Linked DNA regions of Oreochromis niloticus. The protein of the gene in region 2 interacts with the protein of the main gene of each other region in a pairwise test. Links are inferred from orthologs where the notes say so. Each region holds a gene or a part of one and is shown on either strand. Other genes may lie near its edges.

Region 1 (7,628 bases), on a different chromosome or scaffold from region 2:
TCGTTATTTTTTTGCGGTTCTCTGAAGGCTCGTAACTGGCGATCTATGAAGAGAGACGTGCCGCAGTGGGGCTTAATTTAAAACCAGAAAGGTCACTGCACCAGGAAAGGTCCTCAGCTCAGCCAAAAATATAAAATGAGGAGGAGAAAAAGAAAGCAGTGGGGGAGGAAGAGTGGGCCAAGAAAAAGAGCAAAATGAAAGGAGATTAGAGAATGCCGACAGGGAAGGGGGGAACCCAAGCAGGAGGAAACATGTTCAAATAATTTGGAAAGAGTGTCATGGAAGGAAGGACAAAAACTCTAAAGTACTGAGGAAGGAGAAAACTGAGAGGATAATGAACGGAATTGCAATTGAACTGGAACAAGTTTTTGTTTACTTTAATGGTGTTTTTGCAAGTGATTTGTTATAATTGTGCACAATTTGAGGGAAAAGTACTGCATCAACACACAGTGAAGGACTGCCAATCTGTCCAACAATCTGTGTTGGCAGAAACAACCCTCCCCAAGCCTTTGCTGAATTAGGCTCTCCATGCTTTGGACTTGACCAGAGTACTAATGGTCAGATGGGAAATTAGCTTTGGCATATGCAACTCAGCAAAAAAATAGGTGCAACTCTGAAAACCGTGTCTCCAGTTCAGTCTGTCTACGTGAGATGCTGTATCTTGATCTGGCCAAGAGATGCATGTCATGTGTTGGACTCTGCCTTGTTAACAATAATAAACCACTAAAGTGTCCCTCCCCCCAACACACAGGGCATTCCACAAACTAAGATTCTGGTCTTCAATCACTTCTTTATCTATCAGCTCACTTTAATTGTCCACTGGGTTTTTGACTGCACCACATTACATAAAAGCACAGTGGGGCCTCATGGCAGTAGCACGTCAGCCTATGATGTAAAGCCTCGCGGTTTGCACAGATAAGACGAGTTCAATTTTAATGTTGCTAGCACACCGAGACGCACCAGGCTCACTTGTAAAACAGAATGCCCCCTTCGCTTGTAAACGCAGCAGCCCAAGAGGAGGAAAGAGATGGGGGTTGGGAACACTGAGGTGGGGCTGAATTAAAACGACGAGAGGTATTCCACTTGTCCAACTCCAGCAATCCATCCAATGGATCAATTTTTTTTCTCTCTCAAATTCCCAATCCACTCACCATCCCTTTTAAAAACTAATACCCAATTCCAATCACAGCTGCAGTAAAGCATATCTTGTAAAAGGTCATAGTGTGACCTCCGAGTTCTCTAAATTGGATGCTGGTTGGCCCACTTTTCTTTGAAATACCGCACAGCCTAATATAAAAGTGCCCTGTGCACATTCACATTACCAGTGGGACCTGCATCCAGCACATCAGTAGGTGTTCACATTGATGTGAAGTGTCACAGCACAGAGAATTTTACAAGATATTGGATGTTTTTGTTGAGGGAAACGCGAACCAGAACCTAAACATAAACTACAACATGGGGGCCCAGGAATTATCTGGGATAGGTGTATCTGCGTGTGCATGTGTGCTTGCCATAGGCAACATACCGGCATATAGTGGAGCATCTCTCTGCAGCCAGCCAAGGGAACTGATCAGATGGACGATCAAACACTAATCATTCCCTCACGGCCCATACCGAGTAAAGCTGTCATTAATTTTGCGGAATTACATCAAATCTGAGACATTCTTTATGTGGCCCACGGCCTGCAGACAGTTATACGACAGGGACTGCTGCGCTAAGCAGATGGGGCAGCTTGGCCGTGCATACTAAATACCACTGTCCCCCATTTCTCTACCTCCACCCTCCCAACACTCTACCCTCCTTCTAGGCACTCTGCTTCCGCTCTTCTTTCTTTGTTTTCTACCTTGTAATGCCTTTCTTTGACTATATCTTAAAACAAGCAAACATCACTACAAAACACAGTAACTACCATTATTAAAGTCAAAACTGCCCGTATAGTTTTAAATAATACCCAGCCAGAAAAAAAAAAAATGCCGCCAACTTATATTCTCGGTTTTATTCCCACGCAAGACACGTTACCCATTAACTTAGTATGATGAGAAAATAAATTGTTTACTGACATAAATCTTTAATGTTTGTCTCTTGGATCTTGACAACTCTAACAATTTGCTTGGCTATACACAACAGAAGGTCATAATCCCATTTGAGGTTTCCTTGGCAACTGATTACTGCTGAAGGCTAGTTGCAATTTATGACTAGTGACACATACCTGCCATTCCCTTTGAATGAGACATGTGGTAAGCTATATTCAGACAAACCACCTCAGGTAATAAAACTGCAGTAGCACTCAGGGGCTATACCATTTTCTAGCATTGAGAGAAATTCCAAGCCAAGCTGCTAGAAATCAGCAGATGACAGGGATTAAATTTGTGTGGAGTACTTCCACAACAGATAAATAAACAACATGTTGAAAGTTTTGTGCCAGAACACTATTTTTTCCCCCAACCTAACGCCTCGAAGTGTGAATGTTAGCTATCTCCTTCCAAAAAACAAAAAAGAGCTGTAAATTCACACGGTCAGCATAACTGCATGTGTGCGCAAGTTTGCAGGGTAGAGGTGGGATGTTATGATAGGCAGAGGAGCCATAACAGCAGGCAGCCAGGTCAAGATCAAGCAGTTTCATGGACAATCCACTTTAAGTCTAGTCTCTATTATGGTGAAGCCTTCACATTCCTACTGCACAACCGTCTTCTAATTTTACACAACAATGACGCTTCAAAGTCAAGGCTATGTGAAATCAGACACAACACTATCATAAAATAAAGTAAAATAAAATAAAATAAAATAAAATAAAATAAAATAAAATAAAATAAAATAAAAAATACAGTGGCACAAAGCCAGTAGAAATAAGCATATAGGATTAATTCATAAACAATACTTATGCTAGTATTTTTGGTATATCTGATTTTTCTGTGTTCCAGGGAACTCGTGATTTTAAAAAATGGCAAAAGCAAGACATCCACACTGAATTATGTTGATGAATACAACAGAAGAAATCTTTTTTTTAAATAATACCTAAGCCTAAAGACGCATGTAAACAGTGGCTACTGAATAAGCCAGTCATCACAGTAGAACCTATTTAATTATCCCACTGTGAGAGCGAGCCACTATTTCCATCACCACTTTGCTCACACAGGCTCAGCACACTATTAATCCACTTAAACACAATTTATAGGGTCTCAGCATTGACTGTCCGTCGGCATAAAATTACATGAAGCATCCTTATAGTGTCGTCAACAGACTAAATTAGCCAAACTGGACTTACTAATTGAGGAGGAGTAAAGTATTGTGTGACTGGAGTGTCTCATCAATGAGCAGAGATAAATAGGCTGGCTATGGGCAATGAGGTAACATCAATAACTATAATAATACAGGCTGAGCATTATTTAACTTGTGGTTGTGGAGGACTAATAACCTTTAATAGAGAATGCTAACTTTTAATTTCCATTTCTGTTAAATAGGTTTTTGTTATTGATGGCTTTTTGCAGTTAAAGACTTCTTTGCCATTTTAACTCTAATTTAAATTTAAATCATTTAATATAATCAGTTCAACTAAAACCAGTATTTTAATGTTTTTTTTAATTAAAAATATCAAAATAACACATTGTGAACCCAGATAGACAATACTACTACTGTAGCCTTGAGACATATCTGCACAGCCATATTTGCATTTCTCTTCTGATATATCTGCAAAATGAAATCTATGAATTAAGGCAAAGCTAGAGATGGTGAACCCAGGCTTTGTTTTTAAAATTTGCAGCATAGAGAGACAGTGTATCCCCCTTTATCTTGTATCTAATAGTGAAAGGACAAAAAGGCTGTGATATATTTTCATTGTGGGCTTAAAAGACCGCACTGTCTGCTTAGACTTGCATGTTTAATTTTGGTTTTCAAGATGGTATACTGCCATCTGCTGCCCGGCACTGTAACCTCGTCATGCGCTCTATTTGTCCTCATGTTTGAAGACGTTGTGGGATATCAGGCTTATCCTAAAGAAATTGCCAAATTGGGGCGCTTCCAAAATGCAGGATCACTGGATTATTTTGGAAAATGTTTTTGGCTAAAATCCGAATTCCCCTCCATTAAATCTGGAACGTGGGCTGACGTCAGAGGATCTGCTGTGGTTCCTGATTTACCTCATCAAAGTACAGATGATACATGAAGTGGAAAAGGCTCCCGTGGGACACTGATTTAAAACTAAAATAAATAGGCAAAAACTATACAACCTGTAATACTTTACCATCAAATTAAATAACCGTCATATTGCGAAGTCTACCAACTGTATGGAAAATAATGCGCAGATTTGTTTACAGCGCAATATAGCAAATATTTATGAACTCGAACAATCACTACACATAAAAACATCCGTTTTCATTATTACATCCGCTACGTGTGTCTTCCTCTCATCGCAAATAACACACACTCTTTCCATTGGTGAATGAGCAGGACAGCCGCGGTTTGGCAGATATCCGATGCGAAAAACAACGGCGGCCGATGAGACGCGTCAGATTACATTCAGCGGATCTGTTAGTCTACTGTGACCCTGGGGGTTGTAGTTTAAAAAGGGGTATCTCGGCGTAGTTTCAGCTACGTTGTGAACAACAGCTCCCATAATTCCACGGTGCAGAAGAAGCTGTCGTGCTTGTGTTTTGCTTTGGCTTTTTTGTTGTTATTTCGCGTTGTTGGTCCAGCTGAGCTCCGTGAGGAAAGCGAGTCTGCATCGGCCGTGTTTTTTCGTGGGTTTCTTGAGGACTGTCAGTCCAGTACCTCGCACATAGAGGGCTCCTTTAGATCGTCTGCAGAGGGCTGAGGACCGTAAAGGTAACAAAGACATCAGAAACGGGTCGAGATAATGTGCGCAGATCTCTTTTGGTAGTTAACAAAGCCCTGCATTGTCTCTTATTATTTGCATTCCCATCAAATTAACAAATATAACTAACGTGCACGGATTCAGGTCTTTCCGTAGTGGCTGTGATTGTTTGTTTGTCATCTTAAAGCTTTCATCGACGGGCATGACACACTGTTTTCTTGACATGTGCTACTGTTGGGCCTTAAGCCTCGTGCCATGTAAAACGAGTCCACGGAAAAGCTATTTTGATCACTGGTGCATTGTTTTACGCACTGTCTGTATTTTATCTTGTCCGTATTTACATGAGAAACTATTCGTACCTTATGTAGGTTTTGGGTGTTTCACAAAAAATAGAAAACTTTTATCATCTGTGATTATTGACTGTACCACAGGGGATAAATACAAAGTACAGAAGAGTCAAAGTTAATCCAAGTTTAAAGAACATGCTTGTTGTAAATCCTCATTGGGTTTATTGTGCGCTTGCTTTATTTTTGTTCCTTTTGAAAATCTCATCATACTTGTCTCTACTGCTCTATTAAAATGTATATTTACCATGTGTTTCACCTTGTTTGTGTAACAGTGTACCATCACATCATAAATGTTGCCTATACCATAGTTATTACGCCACACACAAAAATAATGCTTTCTGTAGGCAAGCAGTGTGGTTAACTGCAGGGATACCACAAGTTCGTGGGAAGTAACCACTAGTGGAATCTGAGCCCATATACTGCATGCCTACACGTGACGCTGTATAATAGCAAATGATTTTGAAGATGACTGAAATAGCCCCCGGTGACAACCTGTGTAACGTGTCGTGTTGCCTGAAGACCATGCTGTCACTGAGGATTAGTTCTGCATCGGTGCTGTTTCCTTAAGTGTGCACTCAGTCTAGATCTTACACTGAACAAAAATATTCACACACTTGGGGCCTCTTGTTTGTTCAGCAGTGACCACCTCTTACCTATATCCCAGAAATAGCTGTGTAATGTAATGTGTAATGTAACTGTGCATGTTGGTTTGTAGGTTGATTTTGGGTTTGTTTTTTTTTTCCTTCTTTTCTTTCTTGTAGGTGCAATAGAGCATTTGTTTTGTGTTGCCATGGATAAGGATTGGCAGGTGGAGTTTAGAAACGTGGGCTGCAGCTACTTTCCTGAGAGCAGAGTCGACTGCCACTACACGCTGAGCTCACGGCACATATGGGCCAGTAATGATTGGATAGGGCTCTTCAAGGTATTGCTATTCTGATGAATTTCTCGAAAAGCAACTAAATAAATAATATCCAACTTAAAGTTAACACTGTGCACACATTTTCTTCTTCAGGAGGGATGGACATCAGTAAAGGACTACCACACCTTTGTATGGGCGCTAGCCCCGGCTGACTACCAAGAGGGCACAGATGTCAACTGCTGTGTTCAGTTTCAGGGTATTCATACATTTGTTTTCTAACTGTGTTTACTTCCCATAGTCACACAGGATCTGTACTAGATCAGCACATAAAACCTTCAGCAGGAGATTGATGCCTCTGTAAAATGAATTGCTCTGTTATTTACAAAATGCTAGCGAATCACATACTGAGTGGAAGCAAATGTTTATTTCTATCTTAAAATAATTCTTCAGCAGAAAAAAGGGGGAAAAATCCTGTGCACAAGACAAATATCTAACTTAGCTTGGTTTCTAACAGAGACACTCTCTGTCATGGTTTGAATTCATTTCTTTAGTAAGCAGGAGGTTGAGTAATGAGGATGACAAAGACAATGGCCCAAAGGCTGCTCTGCTGACTGCTGCTGCTCACTGGAGAATACAGTGTTCACTTTGTCCTGTGTGTCAGGGGCAGCTGATAAGCCTGATTGAGGGTGAGGGGCACGTGTACAGCAGGTGTGGCATTGACCCCTGGTAAAGTGATTTATCGCTAACTTAAACATACTGTCAATGTCATTCTTCAGTACAGAGAAAGGAAACTAAAGAAAGTACTGATGGTTCCTTATCAGCAGCAATGCAGTGATTTAAAAAGAAGGTCGCCTCTTCTGTGACCTTAGCCGGTGCTCGAAGTTGAAATACAGCTCATAAACTTTACCGTATGTCATTCCCTCTGTCTGTTTTCTATCTTGGCCCTTTACTGTAGCTGTATTGTGAAACAGTAATTCTAAGTAAATCACTCCAAACATGAAGCAATGGTCTGTGTGAGATAATGATATTAGATCAGCTTACTTTATAGGCTGGAAGGAGTCACAGACTAAGGCTGACTGCTTTGTGGTCAGTGTGGGAGGCAGGAGGTGTATCCTCATCAGTTCCAGTATGCTTGGTTAAAGGTGCATGAAAAGGAAACAGAATCAGGAGTTTGGTGATAGTGAAAGTCTTAAAGTTATGCAAGTAGCACAGCTGGTCTGAAAAGCAGTTATTTTGCTCTCAAAATTTGTAAGCCTTCAACTTTATGAGAGACATTCTTATGCCAAACAGTGATTGCTGATGTGTTTTTATGACTAATATCTTTGCTTATATTGGTAGATAGGCTGTAGTCAACAGGATTTATGAAGTGGTTACGTACAAAATAAAGAAATGACCTGTTCTGCAAGTGTCTTTTAACTCAGCATTATCGTACCCACTCTGTGCTCTACATTTTAATCAATCCAGTCCTTTTGGGCCACTTAAAATATCTTTATAGATCTGTTATGTTATATTTGTTGCAATTTCTCCTGCCCTCTTGGCCAGCTCTCTTTTGAAGAAGACATTTTTACTGTCAACGATAGTTTTTACATCGATTCATAAAGGATATATAAAA
Region 2 (7,949 bases):
AAGCGGAACTACCGACCCAGCCCTGGCCTATTCAATAAAATGTTTCAAATGAATGGTGGGTGAAGACAGTCAGCTATCTTAAGCAAAGAAAAAAAAGAAAAGAAAAATCAGAGCCCGTGTGCAAAACCACACGGATCATAATGTGCAATAACACGTTTTTAAGCATTAAGAATAATAAAAATGTGAAACATGCTGAAACTTATTAAAGTGGAAGTTTCATTAGGTTTTAGGTAATGTAGTTCAGCATTTACAGACGTAATTTTCCAGCTGCAGAGCAATTATTTTGTTAATTATAACTATAATGTGGGAGGTTTCTCTCACTAATCTGACATTAATGTAACGTTTGTTTATTTTCCTGCCCTAGGAAATTTTAAATGGCCTAATTTTGAAAGCTTAATTTTATACTCAGATTTTTACAGCGTAAATGAAAGAAGAAGAAAAAAAGCCAATAACATACTAGCCAGTGTACTTTCTATACACACATCGTTGTTCATCACGCTGTGAGAAACAACAGAAAAATGTATAGACTTATGTTAAGTCACAAAGACTCATTCCAAATGAGGGCAAAATTTTTATAGCAACAACAAAAAATGCCTATTTTGAGGGAGGAAAAGCAATATAGACATATAATATGTTAGTTATATTAAAAAAAGGGAAGATAATAGGTTAACTACTTATTAGTTTTCCTGCAGTATAGTTCATAAACTAGTAAGAACTTATAAAGGTTCTTTAGCTTCCTTTAGGGGTTGCCACAGTGGGTCATCTGCCTCCATCTCACCTTATCCCAACATCTTCCTCAATTTTGTGATTGTGCACTTCCTGGTTCTTTCTAATGAAAATCTAAACATGTTCAACTCCGCCACCGCCAGGTTGGCCTCCTGAGTCTTTATCAGTGCCATCTCATCTCAGGTCTCTCTACCATCATGTAAACCTTCACTTTCACTCTGCTGCTATCCTTCAGTCACAAATCACCCCTGACACTCATCACCACCAACTCCAACAGATACAATTGACTTTATAACAAAAAATTTCTATATTTTGTGCATATAGTTATCAACTGAAGTTAAAATAGGGCTAGATTGTACTTTTCTGTATTAACAGTTTGTTCCACAAGATGGTGTAGAAAGTCAACATGAGAGGAAGAGGAAATATGGAGAAGCAGAGGAAGCACCTGGAAAGTAACCGTTATCAGCAGCAGCAGCATCACCTCCCAAAGGGAAATCAAGTAAAAGAAGAGTAAACATAAGTGCAGCTTTCCACTGCTGGAGACAGCTCATTGAAAATACAGGAGTTAATGAGCATGCTGAGTATATTACTGGTATGATAAAAGCTCTTGGTGCTAATTTTCCCAGTCAAAAATAGCGATCAAGCAAGATATCTAATGCTATTTGCAGTGGGTGTGCTCTTATTGATATGTAATTTAGACAAAAGACAGTTGTGTCACTGTATGTGATCATCTCAGGTAGAGAGTATATCCAGATCTTTACTGGGGGATCTCAGGTACATTTTCTTACTACAGGAGCTGGTACTGCCCCCGGTGGTGAAAGTTCTAGTTAAAACGTCACAGCCCATTGTTCCTTCTGTGGGCTGGTTTCAGTCATTATGCAAATGTCCTGTTTATAAGGTTTGGGGAAACCTGCAGTCAGCTGAGACTGAAGAAGTCACTTGGATGAGTGACGAAACGTTTCTCCCACAAAACGCTACGTCCAGATGAACAGATTCAACTTTTGGAGAAAGTTCTAGTTACATTTTACAGAGGATGATTTCAAAAACACTTCTACTGTTGACACTATGTGACTATGCACCTCTCTTTGCTCACTGGTGATCCATAATATGCTGCAGACTTAAATCTTTTTAACAAACTATGTGATTATACAATTTCTAAATTGCCCTAAGCATTTTCTCTGCAAAACAAGAAAAAAATTTGACTGGCTCTTCATTGACTGCATTGTGTGAAGGCGTTTCCATGTTGAAATAGGTTGTGTAGTGCCACATGCACTACCCAACAGGGTCAAGAACATACAACTACAAATGGAGCCTTTTAGGAGACCAAAACTGGATAACAGATGCAATAAGACAAGACAGATAAGCTGGAAGAATAAAAAACTTGTTTTGTCCTGACAGCATGCATGGCAGCACAGTTTGTCACTCATAAATCAAACGTCCAAACATTGGCACAGTATGACACCCGGTACTCTGTCTCAAATGGATATGACCTTTACCTCATCATGGCATTCTTTAAACTGCCACAAGAAAAGAATACTATTAACATTGTTGTTATATTGTATTTATAGCAGTCTGAACTGTATACATTTTATTCAGTGTTAAAATACAGATTATACTACTGTAGACTCCAGTTTTATAATCGTGTTATTATAATAGCCCATGTTATAGACAAAAATAAATGAAAATCACTACCAAATACCCCAAAACAGTACAAACTAATAGATTTTTATGTTCCTTAATTAGGTGCGCTAAACTGAACAGATAAAGAATCATGATCCTCCCAAAATGAGGTCATAGCAGGAAAAATGCTTGCACAGGTTGCGGGATTCACCAAAATAAACATAGTTACATTGGCTGGAATGGAAAAAGATAAATTCTGATATCTTTCAGCATTTATCTGTTGTTTCAGCAATATCTCAGTATTCTTTCCCATCTCAATTAGTCCTGTTCTCTGCTTGCAACATTTCTGCAGATAAGATAACAACACTGAAAGTGCCTCTTCCTTGTTAGTTTGATAAAAAAAAACAACAACAACATAATGCCAGTACAATTTTTGCTCTTTAAATTATTTGATGTTTCCACATGTATTTGGACAGTGCCACACAGCAGATCATTGTGACAAGAAGAGTCCCTCCGCATACGTGTGCCACCAAAGACCCATCACCCACTGGGAGCTGGAAACTCACTGGATTGAGATCCTATAAGGCAAAAAGGGAAACAATTGAATGATTGAGTTTTGTTTTTTTAAATCACCTTTTCACTCAAGATTTGGTGAAATATTGTACACAATCACCTGCTGAGGCTTGACTTTAACCCAAGAACAAGTGCTTGAATTGCTGGCAGTGCATGGTGCATCCACAACTGTGTGAGGCTCTAAGCTGCTAAGCTGTGCACCTGGATAAGAGAAATAGTTTTAGAAGAAAGTGTTTCAGAAAGCCAAACTGAAAAGTCACATTTTTTAAGTCACATTTTTGTTTTTATACTATAAAGTTTTGATCATTAAAGTTATTATATGTATGCAACCTATCCACAACCACAAAACTGAAATAATTTGGTAATATTCATTGACACTCCACTTTCATAGAAAACAGATACAAATTTAGGATTTTACGCTCCGACATCATTTAGTTTAATTATGCAGTCACGTAAAATTATATTGCAAACAGTAAGGTTGATTTAATGTATTTCGTTAATTTGTTTCATTACACATCATGACACAACATTGCATTTTAAATACCACATTTGGTTTACATTGTTTTCTTTCTGTATAGATTTACATAGTGTCAGAAATTGCTATAAAATAAAATGAATCCACTTACATTTTTCTGTCCGCAGCAGCAGCTCTGGAGCTTCTATGTCAACAGATTTAAACATTTTTCCATCAAATGAGGGCTTGTGGTAGCGACCATGTATTGGAATTGTTACTTTGAATAACTTGGAAGTTGGTCCAGTGGAGAAAGGATACACATAGGTGACAAATCCTGAAGCTTCGTGAGCAGGAACCTCAAGGTCAATGGGTGAATCTAGTAATATCTTACAAAGTTTAACACAGAAATAATTAAATAAAACATATACACTGTGCACATGTTTTGTACATGACTGTGGTTTGTAGTAGAATTTTACACTGCGTTATACTACATCTAGTTGCTCGGTGTCTTACCTTCCACTTGTTTTGATCGCTAAGGGATGCAAGTTGATATGGATCAACATAGACATCTCTGGGCCATCTATGAATCAGCAAAACTTTGACACCACAGAGCTCTTTGGATCTGAACTCAACTGTAGTTGTCACCTCCCTAAAACATATTAGAAAATATCATTGATTCTCCTGACAAGTAGCCCCAAAGGCAGAACAGCTTTCTTTTGAGAAAACAAACAACCGAATACCTGTGGAAACCCTTTTTGTTGAGCTCCACTGTCACTGATGAGGGCGCAAGCCACTGCCTCAGAAGATCACAGTGATTCTGAATCTCATCTGCACAAATTAGCAGGTTACACTGATCAGTATCTCCAGGTAAAAGCTTTTTGAATTTGAACATGTATCTATATTTTTGGAAAATCGCAGGATGGGATTAAAGATGCATTTGTTTTTCAAACTATGCTAGATTATATATGTCATGTTATCCATACAGGGGTATATTTACAGCACTTTTTTGTCTACTGTAAAAATACTATTCCTTCCCTCAAACAAAAAAACCAAAAAAAACCCCCAACAACTTAATTTAAATGACCTTCAATCAATAATAATGAGAGCTTATTGAATGACTATCGAGTTTTCACATAGAACCTAGCTCACGTACCCTTTTCACCCAAACAGTGACATTTCGAGAATAAGCTCAACGCAGAAACAACACAGAACAGTTTAAAATACATTAAAAATATAATGGCCAACGCTGAGACGCGTTTATAGGCTGTTTATTTAACTCAAGCACAGCTACCACCGCTTAAGCGCTTCTTTGAAGTGTTTACGGAAGATGATTTTTTGAAGGCCCCTTTTGTAGTTTCAGGGAGCCTGCAAATGTGCCTGTGTAGAGATTGAAAAACACAAGCTTTTAAGGAAACATTTAGTAACATTTATAGACATAGAAAGCAGTTTTCAGGAATAAAATGAATAATAATGATACGTGAAAGTTAAATGATTTTATATTAATTTTTTAAATCCGAAATTTAGCGTCAGGCATCCCAACAAACAGAAGCGTCTTTACGTAAAGGCTCTGCTGGCAACCTGGCAACGCGTAATCATCCCTGAAGCCGCTGCTCGATTTTTTTTTATTCATACTGTGCGCTAGTAGCAATAATTATGGCTGCGATGTTTCTGTTTTAAACATGTTTAAATTGATGGTCGGATTGGGTTAAGTTTGTTTGTTGTAATAGAAGTACAGGATGCGTTTTGCGGCAAAGCGCTGCGGGGTGCAGTTCAGCCCTCCATCCATAGTTTTAATTTATGAGCACACGGAAACCAAAAAGGTGCGAAAAAGAATAATACCTGTGCGAAATTTCTCCAAATACTCCGGTAAGGCACCACGGACACATTGGGACTCGTTCTCTGTGCTCCATGTCACATGTTACAAGGTAGCTACAATCAGTGTGAGAATATTATTTTAGCCTCGTTTGCTGTATATTAATAATTATATAATACTCTAGTAAATCTAACAAATCTGTCAGAGTCATGAGGCCCTGAAGTTTTGATTTCTATATCTCGTGGATAGCAGCAGGTGGATTACCTGCAAGCTGCTGAGCCTCAGGCTCCTATTTCTGACTAAAATAGGAGCATCTTACTTTGTTTAACTAAGGTCATTGCTAGTGAGTGTTAATAATAAATAACTAATATGTAATACATGGAAACATACATTTATCGTTCTGCGTTTTTTCCTTCCTGTTTTTGTTAGTCCATTTTTTGAGACATAGGTACTGTGATCAGAGCTGGAGTCGTGAATGCACACTGCATTAACATATGTATGTAGCTTATTTTGTTCTTGTAGATTGCCACGAAGTAGCTGGGCAGGACTACAACCATCCTATTACCTCATGCCGTCTCTTCCAGACTACAGCATGGCTGCTGAAAGGCTGAAGAACAACCCTCGACACAGGGACTACCTGGAGGGTGTCTCTCAGAGCCAGCTTGAGAAGCTTCACATTATCCTACGCGATCACATGCAGGGCTTCAGTCTGGAGCACAGCCTCTCCTCGTTCTGTCTGGACCCTGACGAAGACCTGAACAAACTGGACGATGAGGAGCTGGCACGCAAGAAAGGCCAAATGGACGAACTGTTTGAGAAAAACCGGAGGCACAAAGATGATCCTGACTTTGTTTACAACTTGGAAGTTGATTTCACTAAGACCACCTTAGAAAAGTGCAGCTGGGATGAAGAATCAGATGATGGATTTTAAAACTCTCTCTTCATCAATGTTTTAATTAAGAATGTAGATGTAAATCTATAGTGAGACTGCAGGAACATACAACCCAACTGTTGTAGATGGCAATGCTTCAATAAACGTCAATATAGTAGAAACACTATGCCTTTAATGACAAAAAAACCACCATGAACCTCCCTTAATGGCAAGCAAAGACCAAAGCCTGTTAATCAAGGGAAACTAGAGCTATGATTTTGTGTCTGTGTACCATAGCATTAATCTGTAAAAAACAAAACAAAAATAAAATAAAGGCATAAATGGTCATTAGGTAAGGTAACAATAGTAACTGTTACTATTGGTTTGATCCAGTTAGTCATAATTTATTTCACTTGAATGCTTCTTGATAGACAAAGTTAGGATATTTCTGGAATCCTGTAGTAAGTTATTTTTATTATATTTTTTAAAGACAGACCATTTCTTCAGCTGTAGCCTCATGGGCACTAAAATATATCTTAAAAAACAAGACTGTTTACTTATGGATTTTAAAGTCATAGCCTGGTCCAGTAATACGTTAGGTGATTTACAGATGTCAAGTTTCAAATCTGACACTTTTTAGAGGTGACTTCAATGCTGTCAGCAGAAATGTTGATTGTGCACGAGCTCTTAGTCACAACCAATAGAGATATTAAATTTACAACATCCAGTGACTGCAGTCTCTAACACTGATGACATAAAAGCACCTGTTTTAAGGCAAATTACTACACCCGAGATACTGTTACCCAAGTAACTAACCCATAGTTTAAGTTCGTTAAGCGTTTCCCTCAGGTAAGGGTTAATAAACTCCATTTTCATTAACTTGCTTTCGGGAACAGGCCTCCAGCAACACCTAAACTTCAGTCATGAAATGAAACAGGCACAGAGTCTAGAGGAACATTTCTAAATCAGGGGAAACAAAACCAAACAATGTTTGAGAACAACCTGATAATATAATGATAACAAACATAAAATTCCGTTTTAAGGTGCAATAAACAAAATTATGCATGGATAATAGTGAATCTTTATTTGTTATAAAATACTGAATTTTACAAAATACAAAGACTTTGGTTCTTTTATTTGTGGCTTACACCTAGATGAGTGATATTCACAGTTGAATATGAAAAGAAGATTCTAAAATCCTATTAAATAAAATCTGAGTGTACACCAGGAAGTAAGCAATACAACAAATATATCTTTGGGAAAAAAAAAATGTGTCCACAAAATAGTTTTATATCATACAAAATATATATACTTCCATATATATGGTTTGACATGATGTTCTATGGCAAAAGTTTTAAAAGAGATAAACTATATCATAAAACTAAGCCTGCATTATCAAACCTTTTAAGGGGAAAATGTCATTCAAAGTGCTTAAATACCTCATTCAGTTGACAATAGACACTGACTGACTGACTGACCATTAGTACCACAATACATTCAAAGATGTCGCAGGTTTTTGTTAAAATGCAATACAGAATGATTTTACATTGCTTTGCTAGTTTGGTTTAAGCTAATCAAAACAGTTTTTTACATTGTTATCAATTGCAGTCATTTTTGCAGTGCCGATGTATTCCCTAAGGAGGTAGTAACAAAAAAAAAAAAAACCTGACAATTCCTTTTCCCATCACCATTTACACATGGATTTGGGCAACTGAATTGTAAATTCTCAGCAGGCTGTTAATTTATTTAAAAGTCATTTATAAAACTGATATTTCAAGTATGCTTAAGACACAATCCGGGTTTTTGAGTTTCTTTTTACACACACACGCGCGCGCCTGACACACACACTCTCACACACAAAGCAAATGACTTAAGAGGAACAACTTTCTGAA

Evidence for each region. The genes of interacting proteins can lie anywhere in the genome.
Region 1: the proteins of cep19 (region 2) and calcoco1a interact in binary tests that used the Homo sapiens proteins (3 or more experiments, as listed by UniProt). The two-hybrid records come from large-scale screens. The link is inferred for Oreochromis niloticus from reciprocal best matches to the Homo sapiens genes CEP19 and CALCOCO1.

What each region holds. Positions count from the first base shown.
Region 1 is NC_031984.2:19,325,665-19,333,292, forward strand, and holds the start of calcoco1a (calcium-binding and coiled-coil domain-containing protein 1), read left to right. Parts: upstream 1-4,614; 5' UTR 4,615-4,821; intron 4,822-5,918; 5' UTR 5,919-5,947; coding exon 5,948-6,079; intron 6,080-6,169; coding exon 6,170-6,272; intron 6,273-7,057; exon of another isoform or gene 7,058-7,147; intron 7,148-7,628. UniProt on the Homo sapiens protein: Functions as a coactivator for aryl hydrocarbon and nuclear receptors (NR). Recruited to promoters through its contact with the N-terminal basic helix-loop-helix-Per-Arnt-Sim (PAS) domain of transcription factors or coactivators, such as NCOA2.
Region 2 is NC_031986.2:38,135,730-38,143,678, reverse strand, and holds cep19 (centrosomal protein of 19 kDa), read left to right. Parts: upstream 1-4,935; 5' UTR 4,936-5,109; coding exon 5,110-5,239; exon of another isoform or gene 5,240-5,281; coding exon of another isoform or gene 5,282-5,298; intron 5,299-5,615; exon of another isoform or gene 5,616-5,690; coding exon of another isoform or gene 5,691-5,770; coding exon 5,771-6,117; 3' UTR 6,118-7,589; downstream 7,590-7,949. Other genes in the region: pigx (phosphatidylinositol-glycan biosynthesis class X protein), read right to left, coding at 2,787-2,924, 3,020-3,120, 3,546-3,759, 3,887-4,022, 4,114-4,201, 4,527-4,599. UniProt on the Homo sapiens protein: Required for ciliation. Recruits the RABL2B GTPase to the ciliary base to initiate ciliation.